4 linked regions of the Callithrix jacchus genome follow. The protein of the gene in region 3 purifies or fractionates together with the protein of the main gene of each other region. This does not show direct contact. Links are inferred from orthologs where the notes say so. Each region holds a gene or a part of one and is shown on either strand. Other genes may lie near its edges.

The links.
Region 1: the proteins of SCAP (region 3) and SREBF1 purify together in Homo sapiens (affinity purification with western blotting; 4 studies listed by BioGRID and IntAct, with this or other methods). This does not show direct contact. The link is inferred for Callithrix jacchus from reciprocal best matches to the Homo sapiens genes SCAP and SREBF1.
Region 2: the proteins of SCAP (region 3) and INSIG1 purify together in Homo sapiens (affinity purification with western blotting; 11 studies listed by BioGRID and IntAct, with this or other methods). This does not show direct contact. The link is inferred for Callithrix jacchus from reciprocal best matches to the Homo sapiens genes SCAP and INSIG1.
Region 4: the proteins of SCAP (region 3) and SREBF2 purify together in Homo sapiens (affinity purification with western blotting; 3 studies listed by BioGRID and IntAct, with this or other methods). This does not show direct contact. The link is inferred for Callithrix jacchus from reciprocal best matches to the Homo sapiens genes SCAP and SREBF2.

What each region holds. Positions count from the first base shown.
Region 1 is NC_133506.1:69,312,992-69,317,448, reverse strand, and holds the start of SREBF1 (sterol regulatory element-binding protein 1), read right to left. Parts: upstream 3,047-4,457; 5' UTR 2,880-3,046; coding exon 2,789-2,879; intron 1-2,788.
Region 2 is NC_133512.1:92,931,746-92,935,669, forward strand, and holds part of INSIG1 (insulin-induced gene 1 protein), read right to left. Parts: intron 3,108-3,924; coding exon 2,983-3,107; intron 2,494-2,982; coding exon 2,327-2,493; intron 2,002-2,326; coding exon 1,902-2,001; intron 965-1,901; coding exon 894-964; intron 1-893. UniProt on the Homo sapiens protein: Oxysterol-binding protein that mediates feedback control of cholesterol synthesis by controlling both endoplasmic reticulum to Golgi transport of SCAP and degradation of HMGCR.
Region 3 is NC_133516.1:30,074,805-30,078,728, reverse strand, and holds part of SCAP (sterol regulatory element-binding protein cleavage-activating protein), read left to right. Parts: intron 1-933; coding exon 934-1,091; intron 1,092-1,923; coding exon 1,924-2,144; intron 2,145-2,326; coding exon 2,327-2,432; intron 2,433-3,076; coding exon 3,077-3,249; intron 3,250-3,632; coding exon 3,633-3,759; intron 3,760-3,924. UniProt on the Homo sapiens protein: Escort protein required for cholesterol as well as lipid homeostasis.
Region 4 is NC_133502.1:189,935,637-189,940,119, reverse strand, and holds the start of SREBF2 (sterol regulatory element-binding protein 2), read left to right. Parts: upstream 1-1,560; 5' UTR 1,561-1,792; coding exon 1,793-2,189; intron 2,190-4,483.

The sequences.
Region 1 (4,457 bases), on a different chromosome or scaffold from region 3:
AATCTCTTGAACCTGGGTGGCGGAGGCTGCAGTGAGGTGAGATCATGCCACTGCACTCTAGCCTGGGCAAAAGAGTGAGACCCTGTCTCAAAAAAAAAAAAAGGTTTATGAAGAGTGTGTAGCCATCCCAAACCAAAAAGAGAGAGAGAGAGACAGAGAAGAAAAGCTCTTTCACATAATTAGCAGGGCTTATCTCTGGGTGATAGCTTTAAAGTTTTATTTGAGACAGAATCTCACTGTCACCCAGGCTGCGTGCAGTGGCGCAGTTACAGCTCACTGCAGCTCCAGCTTCAAGCAGTCCTCCCACTTCAGCCTCCAGCATGGCTGAGACTACAAACATGTGTTACCCACACCCAGCTAATTTTTTTATTTTTGTAGAGACAGGATCTTGTCATGTGGCCGAGGCTGGTCTCAAATTTCTGGATAAAAGTAGTCCTCCTGCTTCAACCTCCTAAAGTGCTGGGATTATAGGCGTGAGCCACCACACCTGGTCTAAAGGTTTTAGTTTCTTCTTTTTGCTCACTTGCACTTGCTAATTGTTCTACAATGAAAAAAGATGTGTAATTGGGGCTGGGCACGGTGGCTCACACCTGTAATTCCAGCACTTTGGGAGACCGAGGTGGGTGGATCACGAGGTTAAGAGATCGAGACCATCCTGGTCAACATGGTGAAATCCCAGCTCTACTAAAAATACAAAAAATTAGCTGGGCATGGTGGCACATGCCTGTAATATCAGCTACTTGGGAGGCTGAGGCAGGAAAATTGCCTGAACCCAGGAGGCGGAGGTTGCAGTGAGCCAAGATCGCGTCATTGCACTCCAGCCTGGGTAACAAGAGTGAAACTCCGACTCAAAAAACAAAACAAAACAAATAATAAAAAAAAAATATGTTTAATTGGAAAGAACAGGAAGTTTGAATAAAAACTGAAAAATCCTCTACTGAACTGGGTAAAGCTGGGCCTGCCTAGTGAGAAGGGGCTGCCGAATCTTCAAGGCACTGGGGCTCTCTCACAGACTAGAACTTGGGCCACATGGCTGCCCATGCCTGGCCTTTGGATCTGGAGAGACAGTGTTTTTATCCATGAGTCAGTAAGAAAGGTCTGTATCAGACCTGTGGCCCAGACCGGATTCTGCTGTCCAGCTGCCCATGAAGGGAGGGTTTGTATCCTCATTCTTCTGGAGGTGGAAACTAAGGTTCAGAGAGTGAGAGGGCTTGAGCAGGATGGCAGAGGAAGTGAGGAGCATCCAGGTTCAAGTTCTGACCCCAAAGCCCATGTCCGGCTGGCTTGGTCCTGCTGCCTCTTGGACTACCCTCACTGGGCCCTGTGCTATGGAACTAGTTAAGTCAGGCCTAGATCTCCCTAGGGCTTGGGATTTCAGGGTCCACCTTTCCAGGATGCAGTGAAGGACAACCCCTCCTGCCAGGTGTAGGGGAGGCTGTTTTGGAAAAGCCTCAAAATCAGGGCCTCTCCTCTTGGGTCCTCCCCTAGCCAAGCCCCAGAGGGAAGGAGGAAGGGCTGGGAAGCTCCTGGAGCTGGCAGCCAGCTGAGCTCATCTGCAAGGCTGCAGTAGGGCAGGAGTGGGGGTGGCATAGATACATCTGTTTTGCCAGCCCCAGGGTGGCCACAGGTTCCACGGACATGTCCATTCAGGTTGTGAGTCTAGGCATCTTCTTCCTGCAACCTCGTCCTCAGTTTCCTCATCAACCAAGTGCAACTTAGCCCATGTTGCTAAAGCTCCTGCACGGAAACCATGGAGGAAATTTGCTGGGACTTTCCTTTGCTGTCTGCAAAATGGAAGCAACGGGCCTCCTAACTGGCACTTAGTGCCACCGTTGGCCCCAAACCCCGTCCCCTGACAGCCAGTGTGGTGCTCCAAAGATGGAAGCAGGTGCCGCGGTCCTGCTCCGCCCCTTCCCTGGCCGAGTAAGGCTGCTGGCGTCCTCTCCCTCCGCAACCTTTACGAGCCTTTAACTCCTCACACTTAGGCCCTGCCTCGGGGCCTTCGCCCTTCCCTCGCCCTGGCCTGGAAAACATCTTTCCCTGCTAGTCCTGGGGGTGGCCCTCAGGTCTCAGCTCAGAAGTCCCTGACGCTCTACCCAAAGTAGCCACCTACCTGCCCTCCCCTCGCCCCGCTCCACCCAACGTGCAACTAAATATCTATTTGCTGGTTTCCCGGGGGATGGTGTTCCCGAAAAGAGCGGGTGCCCAGGACTGTCTGTGATCCCTCGGTGCTTAAGACGGGGCCTGGCATTCGGTTAGTGAATGAGTGCGGAGGCGATGCCGGTAGAAGACCGGGGAAACCCGACCCGTGGCCGGGCAAGTGGGCGAGCAGCGCCCGTGCGCTTGCGCACGAGCTCCGACGCCCAGCTGAACTCTCGGGCCGGAGGGAATGACCGTGAGTAACCTCTCATTGACGTCACGGCTGGGGCTGGGGCGGGGCTTCGACGACGCCCGGGTCCCCAGCTCCAGCCGCGGCCGCCACAGGGCTGGAGACTCACCCACCGGTCGGGCGGTACCCGGCCTGGGACGCGTAGAGGCGCACGTGTCCCGGCCCGGAGCCGCCAAGGGACACCGGCCCGGCCCGGGAGTCCTCGCCGAGCGCGCGGCTCGAAACGCCAGGGCGGGAGCCAGGAAGGCTCGGCGAGGCCCGGGACACCGAGGTCCACGGCGCGCAGCTCAGCACGAAGCTGGCGCCCGGGGAGGGGGGAGACAAAGGCCAGGGAGCCACCTGCGCGCCCCCCACTCGCGCCACCCGGCGCGGCTTCAAGCCCTGCCCACCCTGACGCACCTTCGATGTCGGTCAGCAGCGCCGCGTCCAGATCGCACGGCTCGCTCAACGCCTGCTCCAAAACCGCCTCGCTGAAGGGCAGCTCGTCCATGGCGCAGCCGCCTCCTCCGGGAGGCCCGCCGGGCCCGCCGCCGCGCACGGCCCTTCTGAGGGACTGCCGCCGGTCCCGGCTCGCAGCTTCCGCCGCCGCTCCACGCGTTCGTGTCCTGCCCTGGCCTCGCAGGAGGTCCGGCGCCCGCGAAAAGTTCCTCGGAAACTGGGTTCCCGCGGCAGCGGCTCCGCTGGGCGGTGAAGGAGGAGGCGGGGCCTTTCGGGGGAGGCCCCGCCCTCCCAGATAGACGGCCCCGCCCCACCTTGAGAGAGCGGGTACCCCTGATCCCCAGTCTGCGCCACAAATCTGCCCTCAGCGGGCCCCTCCTCCAGAGCGCCCTCCAGTCATTCATTTTGTCCAGCCTCGCGCACCGTGGCAGAGCGGCCTCTGGCCGGCTGCTGCGGGAACGCGGGTAAACCAAGTCCTCTCTCTGGGCCTCGGTTTCTCCAGCACCAAGCAAGGAGCTGAGTGGAAGCCCCAGGCCTGGGCCCATCACAAACCAAAGCTTCCTCACTTCCTAGATTTCACTCTTGAGAACAACACAGACCAGGACCCAAGTTACAGGGGTCCCAGGTTTGCTGTGTTGTGAGCAGACCTGATGTAACTGCTGGGCCAGTTACATCACTCAGCTTCAGTTTCCCTCATTTGTAACGTGGGCCTCATGATGCTTCCTCACCGGCAGGCTGGGAGGCTAGTGACGATGTGGAGATCAGCCTGCCCTCTCTCCAAAGAAACCAGAAGATTGGCCACCTGAAGACAGGAGTGACTGAAGAAAGAGGCTGGAATTTCCTATCGTCGTCATCTGGTTTCGTCCCAGATCCAGCCCTAGGGATAGGACCCCAGCAGGCCCAGTGCCGCTCCTGACAGAGGAAGCGGGTACCCAAGGACGGCTGGCCCCAGGGCTGTCTGATCCCAAATTTGGTGCTTGTTCCTGGGAGTGGCCAAGACAGGGGCCACAAGGAAGAGTTGGCTGAGCTTTAGCTCAGAGCCAGGCTGCCCTGGACCATGACAGCTGGGACTAGGTCAGAGCAGACAGCCCTGATGAGAAGAGAGAAACCAAACCCAGTTCTGTGGCCTAGGGACAGAGCCAGGTGGAGCGGGAAGGAGGGAAGGGGTCCCAATGAGGTGGGTTGAAATAAACCAGAATTAACATTCAGTTATCTGAATGTGATAAGACAGTGAGCTCCCTGTCCCCAGAGGTATGCAAGCAGACAGAAGCACCCTTGGTGGAGGGCAGCCAAGGAAACTCACCAGGGCCTGGTCCTCAGGCCCTCTGGACCCTGGGCTTTAATGAGTCAAGCCATCCTGCAGACTGCCTTGCTCAGACTCCAGATATGGTCTGACCACACCCTAAGCAGGAGTAAAATTCCTGTGCATGTTAGAAGGGGTGTGTGGGGGAGAGAAGCCACAAAGCCAAGTCCCTGGGCTTGGACATGCAGCTCCCTTTGTTCCTCTCTCAGAAGTGGCTGCGATGGAAAATTACCCAGAACAGGAACGCCAGAGTTATGGGGGTCGCCAAACCACATCTCCTCAGCCACCCCTACTCAAGGATCCACACAGGACCCACTCCCTCCAGAT
Region 2 (3,924 bases), on a different chromosome or scaffold from region 3:
AAAGAAAAAAAGGATAAAAAGAAATCTGAAGTAGGGAGAATTATAACGACGCCACTATCCTATTTTGAGTTATCTGACATTTTTTTCTGTACGGATCAAAGGAGCACAGCAGGAATTACTTAATGAAACTATCTTCAAAACTGAAAATGTTTCCTCTATTTCTAGATGTTTAGAACTTATGAATGTTGTGAAATTTCTTCATCCACCAAAATAATGCTCGTTTCTTAAAACTAATTTAAAAAGCCTTGACATATAATAGCATCAATCTACTTTACAGAAATAACCAACTCTTTAAATGTCATTCAAGTTTTAATTATAATGTATAAATAGTCAATCTGGTTGAGGGCAGTTTTATTCTAAACACCTTAGGAATTCTCTCCCAAAGAGCACTGAAACAAAAACAGAAAGCAAGAAAGCAGTGATGGAGTTGCCTAGCCCTCCTCGGAAGACTTAACAGTGATGAAGGTGAATCCGCAGAAGCGATGTACTATTTTCATGTGGGACCATCCAACCAGATTTGTAATATCGAAAAAAGCAAGGCCAGGTTCACGCCTAAAATCCCCGTGCTTTAGGCAGCCAAGGTGGGAGGATCACTGGAGCCCAGGAGTTCAAGCCCAGCCTCAACAACACAGGGAGATACCATCTCTACAAAAAATAAAAAAATTAGCCAGGCATGGTGGCATGTGCCTGTAATTCCAGCTACTCAGGAGGCTGAGATGGGAGGACTGCTTGAGTCCAGGAGTTCAAGGTTACAGTGAGCTGTGATGGTACCAGTCCGGGTGACTCAGTGAGCTCTGTCTCAAAAAAAAAAAAAGGCAAGCAGTCCTTTCTTCTCCGTCATGAGAAATCTGCCAGTAGAGACTCAGTAACCAGTGGAACACTACAAATTCCACTTGCAATTACTTCTGCTTTTGTGAAACAGCCAAGTGGCCTTCAAATTCAACTTCTCACAGAAGGGTATCAGCTGGGAAACATAAATGTACTGTTTTAAAAATAGCATGAGGTACCAAGATAAGTTTTCCAGGAAAGTCCCGGAGCTTATCTCCAAGAGCAATAGCTCTAGATTTTTTTTAATTCACTTTATTTCAGACTGCCAGTCAAAGTCAACTCAAAGTAACACTTAAAAGTCCGCCTCTATTTTTTTTTAGATTAAAGTGCTCAGATGCCAGTTTTTAATGGAAACTGCTGGCGCCATCCTGGGATTCATCTGCCTTTTCATCCCCCTCGGGGGCTGTGAGAGAAGCTCTGCAGGGTAGTGCAGGGAGGACAGGCAGGACGTCCGTCCACATGGGGACCTAGCCATGTGCAGCAGTGTTCTCGTCACCGCTTCTCCATGCCGAGGGCCACCTGCCCCACAGAAGGGTGCTGCCTGCCTGAACTAGGCCCTGCCCTGGCCTGAGAGAGACTCTGCAGCCTCAGTTCCCTTTGCTTGGCTTGCGGACTAAGAGGCCAGCATCATTTGCATACACTCTTGATTTTGTGAAAAGAAACTCTTGCAGACAGATGCTTAGGGAGCAAAGTATCACTGCATGAGGACATCCAGATCTGCTTCTGATGGTGATGGAGGCGGGGACACTCATACGCCATTCACTGGAGCCACCAGTCACTTTCTGTACTGCTTACTACAGAAGTTATGAAAATTCAGAACAATGAACACACCTGCAATTCAAAGGGCAGTGCGAGAGCTCTAGTTCCTTTCTAGATAAAATATGAGTTTATGTACCTATGAACTTTTACCTGGGTATCATTACCTATTTTTTTTAAATACAAGCTTTCCTCAGTTATTGTCACTTGAATCTGAACTGGAATATATAAACACAGATTTGAATGTATCATGTCAAATAATTCTATCAAGATAAAAAGACGGAAGTCTGAGAAGATGATATGATCGTTTCACTTACCATAGCTAACTGTCGTCCTATGTTGCCCACTGTGACGCCTCCTGAGAAAAATATACAGGGGAGCCAAGAACGAATATAGAGGAAGTCTGGGGATGTGTACCTGCAGCAAGAAAAGAAACTGTGCCTTAGCAGTCAGTTGCACCTGGCTCAGTTCTGCATCAAAGATCCTCTGTAAGGGGGATATGCAGAATGCATCAGCCACGAAGTGTTACAAAATGTTAATATTTGAATGGATTGTTGTAACTGCTGCTACTTGGTTTTCCTTTGCATTAAGTTATGAATAGAAACATTTTTGAGAATTTCATGCCTGAATCTATATCATTCCATATAAAAACCAAATAAAATATAAAAATATCTAAGCTTTATGGATGTTTTTGTGAAAGTTAAGTGTTTTCCAAAGTCAATATTTGAAAACAGACACTTACTGATAGACACCATTATACACGAGGAACTGAGTGATCAGGGTAGCTAGAAAAGCTATAGTGATGCCAAGCCCAAGGCCACTTCTGGAGCGATCGAACGTCCACCAGAGGCCCAGAGACAGGGCTGCCAAAGTCAAGGACAGCTGGACGTTGTTGGCAAAATCCAATTTCTGGTGATGCAAGAGTTAAGGAAAAGCTGAATGATTCTTAGTAAGATAAAAAACACTTTAAAACACACACACGCAGGGGTTAAAAACATGGTTTTTAAATTATTGCACCACAAATAATTAACTGCCCATAAAAACCCGCGTAGTGAGCTAAGGAAGGGTCTGTTGGGTAAGAGCTTACAGTGATCATCAAGATCACCTGAAATCTCCCTGGCATCACCGAGTCGCAAACTTGCTGAAAGCTATATATAAAGTTCTGTCAGCACTTTGATCATAAAACAATATATTTACTACCAAGTCATCTAGAGCCCCCATTCTTCTTTCTCTTTTCAGTAACCTGAAATGGGCAGGGGCCACCATCACGTTTGCATTATGACATGGCGTCATTTGAGTATACTGCACGAATATGAAATACTCATCAAACATGACAAAACAAAACTTCAACATATCACCTAAAAAGATCCTCTAGACATAGCACAGAAACAAGGATACAGCACTGGCATGGTTAATGCCAACAAAAACGGCTATGCAGCGCATGACACTGGCCCATTCTCTCTTAAACTTGTGGGGTTCTCCGAGGTGACTGTCGATACAGGGGTACAGTAGGCCAACAACAGCTGTTTAAAAAAAGATGACAGTTAGAACACAGCAGGCTTAAGTTCCAGAATTTCAACGTGGTCGTAAATAACACAGCACATCACCTGAACCAGTCCTTCTCCCAGAAAATACTATCAGCTGGAACTTCATAGCTAAGACTGATTTTACATTCTCGTTCTCTTTGAGTAGCACTCCCATGAAACCGTACTGTTTTGAAAAGTTTTTTAAAAATCACTATTATTTAGTGTAGCTGAATATGTCTTAGCAAACACAGAAATGAATCAAGCAGAAGCTATTCATGTGAATATGAGCAATATGTAACCTTATATTTAAAACCCCCATGTCCCTGAAGCGAAACTTACATGACCGTGTAGTTCACCCTGTCTTTTCATGCAGTGTGGTTTCTACCTTACAATGAAATCTGTCCACTCCCCGCAGCACAGCTGACACTCCTGCCACCACCCCACAATGGGACTGGGCACGTGATGAGATATGTATTTGCTGAATTGACTTTGACAGTCTGGGTCACATGCCCCTAGAGTGGCCCTGGAGTTGATTTTCGGGGTTCTAGCATGTACTGTACAAGACACTGAGCACCTACTGTGCACACATGCTCGTGCGCAAGGATGGAGAGAGCGAGCCCCACACGGGCTTCTCTACTCTCTGATTCCTGCACAGTCAAGCCCCATGCTGTGGAAAGAGCACCAGACCAAGAAGAGAAAAGTCAGTCTCAAAGCCCGGCCTGCTCTCTGATGGGACGTGGCTCTGCATGTTTGTGTTCTCATGTGTAAAATTATGAGGATTATGTAACTGGGACACAGAGAAGAGATCACTGTG
Region 3 (3,924 bases):
GCTTTAGCCTGGGAGATTGAGGTTGCAGTGAGCTGATTGGGTGACAAGAGTGGAGACCCTGTCTCAAAAAGAAAAAACAGGCGTGGGCCCTCATTTGGCCTATAAGCCATAGTTTGCCTACACCTGGTCCCACAGTAGATGTGTTATTGAGCAAAAGGAGCTCACTGTCCAATGTGTTAGAAGCCAATACTGTGACACCAGGATTCAGGGAAAAGAAAAGCTTTATATTCAGGAGGCTGAGGCAGGAGAATTGCCTGAACCCAGGAGGCGGAGGTTGCGGTGAGCCGAGATCGCGCCATTGCACTCCAGCCTGGGTAACAAGAGCGAAACTCCGTCTCAAAAAAAAAAAAGCTTTATATTGAAGGTTAACTCCCTAGGCAACAGGAGTCCGGATCAAATCTGTCTCCCTGTGCTGGCTTTAAGGCAGTAATTTTTTTTTTCCTTTTTTTTTTTTTTTAGGATTTGAACACAGGAGAGGCAGTAATTTTATTAGAAAAGGTTTAGAGGGTGGATACTGGGATTAGCAGATGATTGGTGGAAGGAAGGGGGATGTCTGGAAAGTTCTTGAGCATGCAGTTATCTCTTCATGCCACCTCATGGGTCCCACGTGCAAATTCTGGGGGAGTTAGTATGAAATATGCAGTGGAAATTCGGGCTGTGACACCAGCAGCCTCATTCTGCACAACTTGTCGGCCATCTTGGTTCCAGCTTATTTCAGCCAGTTCTTTTATCTCATAAGTGGAGGGAATATCTGGGTTTAAGCCAATTGTTTCTTATCTGCCATACTGCAAACTCAAGAACTTCTATTAGTCATTGGTTTCTTTAACTCTATGGGGCATGGTTTCAGATGCCCATTCAGTTTCTTGAGTTGGATCACGTTTCTTCCTCCTGTGCTGAACTGCCCTTTCCACCCCTCCCTCATTTCTTCTGCAGTATGTGGGTGCCCCGGTGGCTTATGTCCAGCAGATATTTGTGAAGTCCTCAGTGTTTCCCTGGCACAAGAACCTCCTGGCAGTAGATGTATTTCGTTCACCTCTGTCCCGGGCGTTCCAGCTGGTGGAGGAGATCCGGAACCACGTGCTGAGAGACAGGTACCCCTCTCAGAGTCACTGGCCTCCCTGAATCCCATTCTGTACTAAAGGGAGAGTTACGGACCTCAGCGTAACTCCAGTGAGCCAGTCAGCTCTGCAGAAATAGAACAAGCAAAAAGGATGGAGGATGAGCCAGCCTTCAATTTCTCAGCATCCTTGTGGGTCCATGGTGGCTGCATTGCCCTTGGACCTATGCCAGTGGCACACACACAGCCCTGAGTCTCATCCTTACATCTCAGATGCACTCAGTGTCCACTGAGCTGACTCATGACCCGCATGGCTTCCTGCCTGTGTGTTATGGTGTGTAATGGCGGTGTCTCTATCAATGAGAAGCAAGCTCTACCTGGGGGTACCTTCTGAAGCCCCAGCCCAGATCATGCTCCCCTGCCATCAGTGGGTCTCTGGATTATGCTGGCTTGGCATACAAAATGTGTAATTGGCAAGCTGCATCACTGCCAGATTTTAGTTAGATAGTGGCATTGACAAATATTTTGATGAACTAAATGAAGCTCCTAGTTTATCCCACTCCCTGGTCATCCACTGAATTGGCCAGGGTGTATTAGTGGGCAGGGTTGTACATGCTCCGATGGTACACTTGCCTGTCCTCAGAAGGGATGGGCTTTGGGGCTCTGGATGCACTTTGAAAGTCAGACATGGTTAGGTAATTGGCCACCTGGAAGTACTTTGCCCTGCTGCCCTAATCATCAGGCTCTTTGGTGATACCAGAGCAAATACGGGGCATTGGAGAACAGACAGAAGACGTACCCTAAGTATAACAGATCTGCCCTCTGGTGGCAGACACAGCAGCTGCCTTGTCCTGTCTCCTGCATAGCTCTGGGACCAGAAGCTTAGAGGAGTTGTGTCTGCAAGTGACCGACCTACTGCCAGGCCTCAGGAAGCTCAGGAACCTACTCCCTGAGCATGGTTGCCTGCTGCTGTCCCCTGGGAACTTCTGGCAGAATGACTGGGAACGCTTCCATGCTGATCCTGACATCATCGGGACCATCCACCAGCACGAGCCTAAAACCCTGCAGACTTCAGCCACGCTCAAAGGTAGCCCTGGCACAAGTTCCCTTCAGACATGTAAGGGTGCCCATTGGTCACCGTCTTTTTGATGGGCACTTAGGCGGATCAGAGTTTACCCCATTTCCTGGGGTGGGGGTGAAAAAGGGGTCCTTGGTGGCTTTGCAGTAGCTGCGATTTCTTTGTCAGTACCTGCTGGTTTCTGCCTGCAGACTTGTTGTTTGGTGTTCCCGGGAAGTACAGTGGGGTGAGCCTCTACACCAGGAAGAGGATGGTCTCCTATACCATCACCCTGGTCTTCCAGCGCTACCATGCCAAGTAAGATTGAAAGTGCCCTGGGCTCCTGACTGGTCTGCTGAGTGACGTGAGGTTTTGAGTAGTTCCTCTTCTGGTTAGTGTTCTGAATGCCCCCCTGGGAACTTCGAGAGTTTCCGGGCTTCCTGTTGAAATGTTTATATCCCTTAGACTAAGCGATGCTGTCTGCCACATTTTAATGGAGGTGAACTGGCAGCTGATTAAGCGTAGGGGACTAAGGCGGGGCTGGCAGTCTCTGTGTCCTGGTGCCTCCTCTGGTCTCTCTTGAGCCTAGGGCAGGCATCTGGTTACTACTGAGCCCCCTAAGGCCTGAGTCCTTTCCAGTGGGGCACTGCAGGTGGCTCCCCAGCTGGCAAAGGCACTCGAGGTGCTTCTGATAGGCTCTCCTGGCAATCAAGTGTAGTGTAGTAGGTCCAGAAAGGGAGGAGATTGAGAAAGGAGTAGGAGGAGCTCCTGAGAAAACTCTGTCCCCTTTGTGATTTTCCCAGTATCCCTGGAGATTATAGAGAATCTCAGGCATCATAGGGAAGTTCCCTTCCAACACAGGGGCAGGAGGGGAGGTCCTGATGGACCCTCTATCTAGAATTGTCTTTGTCCCCAGAACCAAGAGGGACCCTTCCATCTACCCCAACCTTGCTCTTGACCAGGTTCCTGGGCAGCCTGCGTGCCCGCCTGATGCTTCTGCACCCCAGCCCCAACTGCAGCCTTCGGGCGGAGAGCCTGGTCCACGTGCACTTCAAGGAGGAGATTGGTGTCGCCGAGCTCATCCCCCTCGTGACCACCTATATCATCTTGTTTGCCTACATCTACTTCTCCACGCGTAGGTTCATGACAGGGAGGTCAGGGGCTTTCTCCAAGCTAAATGGGCATCTCCATGTCACCTGGTTCCTTGCCTCTGGAGGTGGCTTCGGGTAGAGATATAGGAACACACCTGGTGGTTGCCAGAGCTGGGGCTTCACCCCCCAGCAGGGTCTTAGGGGCTTGGGTGGGGCCAGGGCTCTTTCCACATTCAGCCCCTTCCTGGGTTAGGGTTCCTGAAAGGTGTACTGTGTTCATGACAGTGGGAAGTGCTTGTGCCTGTCCCTTAGTTTTGGTGAAACCAGCTTTCCCTTCCTCAACTGTCAAGGTACCCTACTCTAGGGAGCCCCTGCGTGCCGGGGGCTGGGGGAGGGGCCACCCTGATGTGCCCTCTCTGCCCTCCAGGCAAGATCGACATGGTCAAGTCCAAGTGGGGGCTGGCCCTGGCCGCTGTGGTCACGGTGCTCAGCTCGCTGCTCATGTCTGTGGGACTCTGCACACTCTTCGGCCTGACGCCCACCCTCAATGGCGGGTAGGTCCCCAGCAGGCTCCACTGGGCCATAGGGTGAGCCCTCCGGCCAGAGAGCCTTGCACTTCTGGGTACTTGGCCTTCCCTGGACTGGATGTTTGCTGTGTACTCATGTCTTCACATTGTTGTTTTTGACATTTAAGAGGTACATTTTCTTCCTCTTTGTCT
Region 4 (4,483 bases), on a different chromosome or scaffold from region 3:
GTTAATCCATTTGGAAGGCTTCCTACAGGAAGCAATATCTGAACTGAATCCTGAAAGATTAGGGAAAGCAGAAGAAAAGGACAGGTGGTTTTTCATTTACTTCCTCTGACATATCGCCCTTTTTGCTCACAGCAAAACCATATATAGAATTCTCTTCTGTGACCCGTAGCAGGTGCCCAACCCGTGGTAGACATCTAAACGTAGTGGTTACTCAGTCGAGTCCGTCCCTTTTGCGATGAAGAGCTTCGGTCCTGAGAAGTGACTTGTCAAAAGCTGCCCTACACCTCAGAGCCAGTCCTTGTCTTCCTGCCAGCCAGGGCAAGGTACCACCTGGAAGAGATGTTCAGTTACATGGGATCCAGGGCCAGGGGGAAAATATCAGTTTCCTGAGGTTTGGGTTTAGCCACTATTCTTCCAGCATTTCTACTGAGCCTTCACTTGTACCCCCTCAGTCCACTTGGCCAGGCATCACAGCCTCTGGGCAGGTCCAGGGAGGAACTATGGGCACAGGTGCTGTGTGCCACCTCTGCAGGGGGTTACTGAGGCTCTGGGTTATAGGTGGGTGCCCTGGGCCAGAGAGAGTTATATGGAAGTTATTGCTGAATACCCCCAGAGTACCAGTCACACAACAGTGTGAAGGGCCCTGCAGGAGCCACTGGGCAGCACAGTTGAAGGTGGCACCTTTCTGCTGAGTGCTGGGGCCAGAGCAGGGTTTAGTTTTCTGTCTTTCAGGGTGAGACTGGTGTATTCTGTACCAGCCTCCCTGTGTGTGAACAATGAAGAGAACAATCTTGTCTTGTTTTCCCCAAAATTAAGACACTATTTCTCACTAGTTTATACATGTTTATTATAAAAGGTAATTTAAACAATACTGAAATGTCAGAAAAACGTAAAATTCACCCCAAATCTCACCACTCCCGTAACTATGACTGACAGTGTGATCGCCTTTTTTTTGGTCAATAAATATACCTTTGTGTGCGTAATTTTTAATGATCCATGGTATTCCGTCGTGTGGATGTAATTTACATATTCATTTCCTTATTCTCACTTCTTCCTAGTTACAGCACTTCTTTAAGTACTTGTGATTTTATTCCTTGGGATAAATTCCTAGATGTTTACAACACGACCAGCTGGCCAGCTGCAAGATGGGGCAGTGAGGTCGTTGAAGGAGTAGGAATCCGTAGGTGGGCTGCGCTTCAGAATCTCGGTGGAACTTTTTCAAAATACTCGTGCTCGGGTCCCCGTCTCAGGAGGCCGGCGGTAGGGCTGGGCACTGGCATGGTTTTCAGGTCTTGTGGTTCCGAGGTCCCAGGGATTGAGGACCACTGGAGTAAGCGCTAGTTCACGGCGGGTGCAAAGCAGAAGACGATAACTCCTGACTGCCCTGGGACAATTCGCAACCCAGTCAAGCCTCGGTGCCAGCCTTTGTAAAGGGGCTGGGAGCAGCGGGACTTCGTTGACCCGGACTCCGGTCCTGAGCGCTGGGGGGCCAGATTTGACTCCGCCGGCTTTCTCCAGCGAGCAGGGCCCCCGGAGGCCGCTGGGAAGGTGACGTAATGTGCTTCCAGCAAAGGCTGTAGGCGGCGGCGGTCGCAGGTGGAGGGTGGTCTGTTAACCCTTCACTCCCAGGCCGGTGGACGGAATAACGTGTGGAGCAGATCCAACGGAAAAGGCAGCGGCTCCTTTAAACAAGGAGGAGCAGGTTAAGATGAAGACCGAGCGGTTACTCACCGCATTCGCTCCCAGGTTGCGGGGGGAGGGACCTCGCTATGCAAATCTGAGCTGCTGATCGATGACGCGCCATCACCCCACGCGCCGCCTCGCGCGCCCATTGGCTGAGATGAGCCTGGTCCCATTGACAACAAACAAGGGGGCGCGCGGCCTGGGGGCGTGGCCGCAGGGGGCGCGGGCTGGGGCGGGGGAATCCCGCCCCGCCCTTTCCGCGCGGCGCCAGGGCGCAACGCAAACATGGCGGCCGCTGGCATCCGCCGGTGAGGCGATACCGGACGGGGGTTGTCGGGTGTCATGGGCGGTGGCGACGGCACCGCCCCCGCGTCTCCCTGAGCGGGACGGCAGGGGGGCTTCTGCGCTGAGCTGGGCGATGGACGAGAGCGGCGAGCTGGGCGGTCTGGAGACCATGGAGACCCTTACGGAGCTGGGCGACGAGCTGACCCTGGGGGACATCGACGGTGAGTGGTGGGTGGGTGGGAGTACGGGGGCCGCGCGGGGAGGAAGGGGTTACGGTGGCGCGCCCGGGTGCGCGTGCGCCCACTCCTCGGCAGCCCCGGCTCGCGCGGGAAGCACCCCGCGCGCACAATCCCCCCCGGCGGCCCCCAACCCTTCCGGCTCTGCGAGCGTGAGCCCAGCCCAGCCGCGCCGCTCTGGGAGGCCGTGGGATCTGGGGCGCCGCGGAGCCGAAAGCAGCTCGAGGGTCTTGGGTTCTGGAGCGCGGGGCCAGCGACATCGCGGGGGCGTCTCAGGGAGCGGCCTAAGGAGAGCGCGTGGCCGCCGCCTCCCTTGCGCGCCCAGACGCCCTCTCCGTGGTCCGGTCTCCCGCCGCCCGCGGCAGCGTGTCACACCTATCACTACCTGCCCGGCCGCAGGGGCGGCTTTGAGATTCCCGGGGCCCAGCCCCGGGTCTGCGCACCCCGCATCCTTGGTCTTCCCGGGATTGACCGACGGCCGGGTCGCCGGGTGCTCTGCGAAACTTTGGGCAGTGGCCACAGAAGCAAGTTGCTGATGAAGAGAGCGGTGGCAGCGGAGTGTGGATGCATCTCTCCGGGATGGAGACCCGGGCGCTCCTGCTGTCACGCTACAAAGGGAATTGAGCAGAAGGAATTTTGAGTTGTGGCCCCTCGGGTACGGGCTGGGGAGCGGGTGGCCTTTGTTTCGGCGCCTTAACAGCGGAGTGGAAGAGCTGGTAGGAGCCTAGGGATCCTCTCTTAAAAATACTCATTTTGCGACCACGAGAATCACGATTTGGAAAGGGTCAGCGGCTTGCTCAAGGTCACCCAGCTGGTTAGAGCCCAGTTCTTCGATTTCCTGGGCCAGTATTGATTTTTTTGTACCCCTTCGTTCAGAGAGTCCAGTTGACTAGGCTAGTAATCTTACTAACTTGATAGTGTGTTCTGGGCTCCAAAATACTTTGTGTTATTTCACTTCTTCACAACAATCATGTGAGATATTCTGATTACCCCTATTGTAATACGGTAATGAAAGAAGCTGAGGACAGGAGATGCTGACTTATCTAAGGCCACGCACCTTAGAGAGCTTTAGGCAAAAACGCAGATGCATGGTACTTTTCAGTTTACAGAATGCTTTCATATCTAGGATCTCACTACAGCCTTGCAGGCATGTATGATGGCTGCATCCCTGTTGTGCAGATGAAGAAACAGAAGCAGCAGAAGATTCTCTTCAAGAGAAGAGATAAATGCAGCAGCTAATTGAAAAGGATCTGTTTGCCATATCCCCATTTTGCTTTTTGTAGTATTTCTCCCCTTGGTGTGTCCTTGTTTTCCATTTTAGTCTTGTGGACAGTGTGGTAAGACCCTTAATTGAAGCCCCACTTCTAACCACAGACTCTTCACTGAGTGCTCCTAAATTCAGAGATGGGTTAACAAATGGGGGTTGGAGGTTGGGTACCTACCAAGGGCAGCTAACATGTTTGAAGAACTTCTGTGCCAGCCAGTGTTAAACACTTATACACATTAATGTTCTTAATTCTCATAACCATCAGGTAGCGAGAACTGTTACACTAGTCATCTCCCTCTCACAGATCCTGAAAGTGAGGCCCAGGGCAGTTCATTAATTTACTGAAGATTACACAGCCAGTAGAAAGTACTGTATGTCTGTAACTGTCTACCAGCAAGGGCACAGAAAGGAATTCATGTGCATTTTGCATTCCTGTTCCATGATCAATTCCTACTTGTTTATTTATCTAATTTTCAAATTTTAATTTTTATATATTTAGTTATTTTTTGAGACAGGGCTGTATTCTGTCACCCAGGCTGGAGTGCAGTGGCACAATCACAGCTCACTGCAGCCTTGACTTTCTGGACTCAAGCAGTCCTCACACCTCAGCCTCCCAAGTAGCTGGAACCACAGACGTGTGCTACCACGCCCTGCAAATCTTCTGAAGTTTTGTAGAGATGAGGTCTCACTCTGTTGCCAGGCTAGCATAGGTCACAAACTTTTGGGCTCAAATGGTCCTCCTGCCTTGGCCTCTCAAAGTGCTAGGATTACAGGTGTGAGCCACCTAATTTTTTTTAGAGACAGGATCTGGCTCTTGCCCAGGCTGGAGTCCAGTGGCATAATCGTAGCTTACTGCAGCCTTGAACTCTTGGGTTTAAGCAATCCTCCCAGCTCAGCTTCCCAAGTAGCTAGGACTAAGGCATGTGCCACCACACCCAGCTAATATATATATATTTTTTGGAGAGCCAGTGTCACTATGTTGCCCAGGTTAGTCTTGAACTCCTGGGCACCT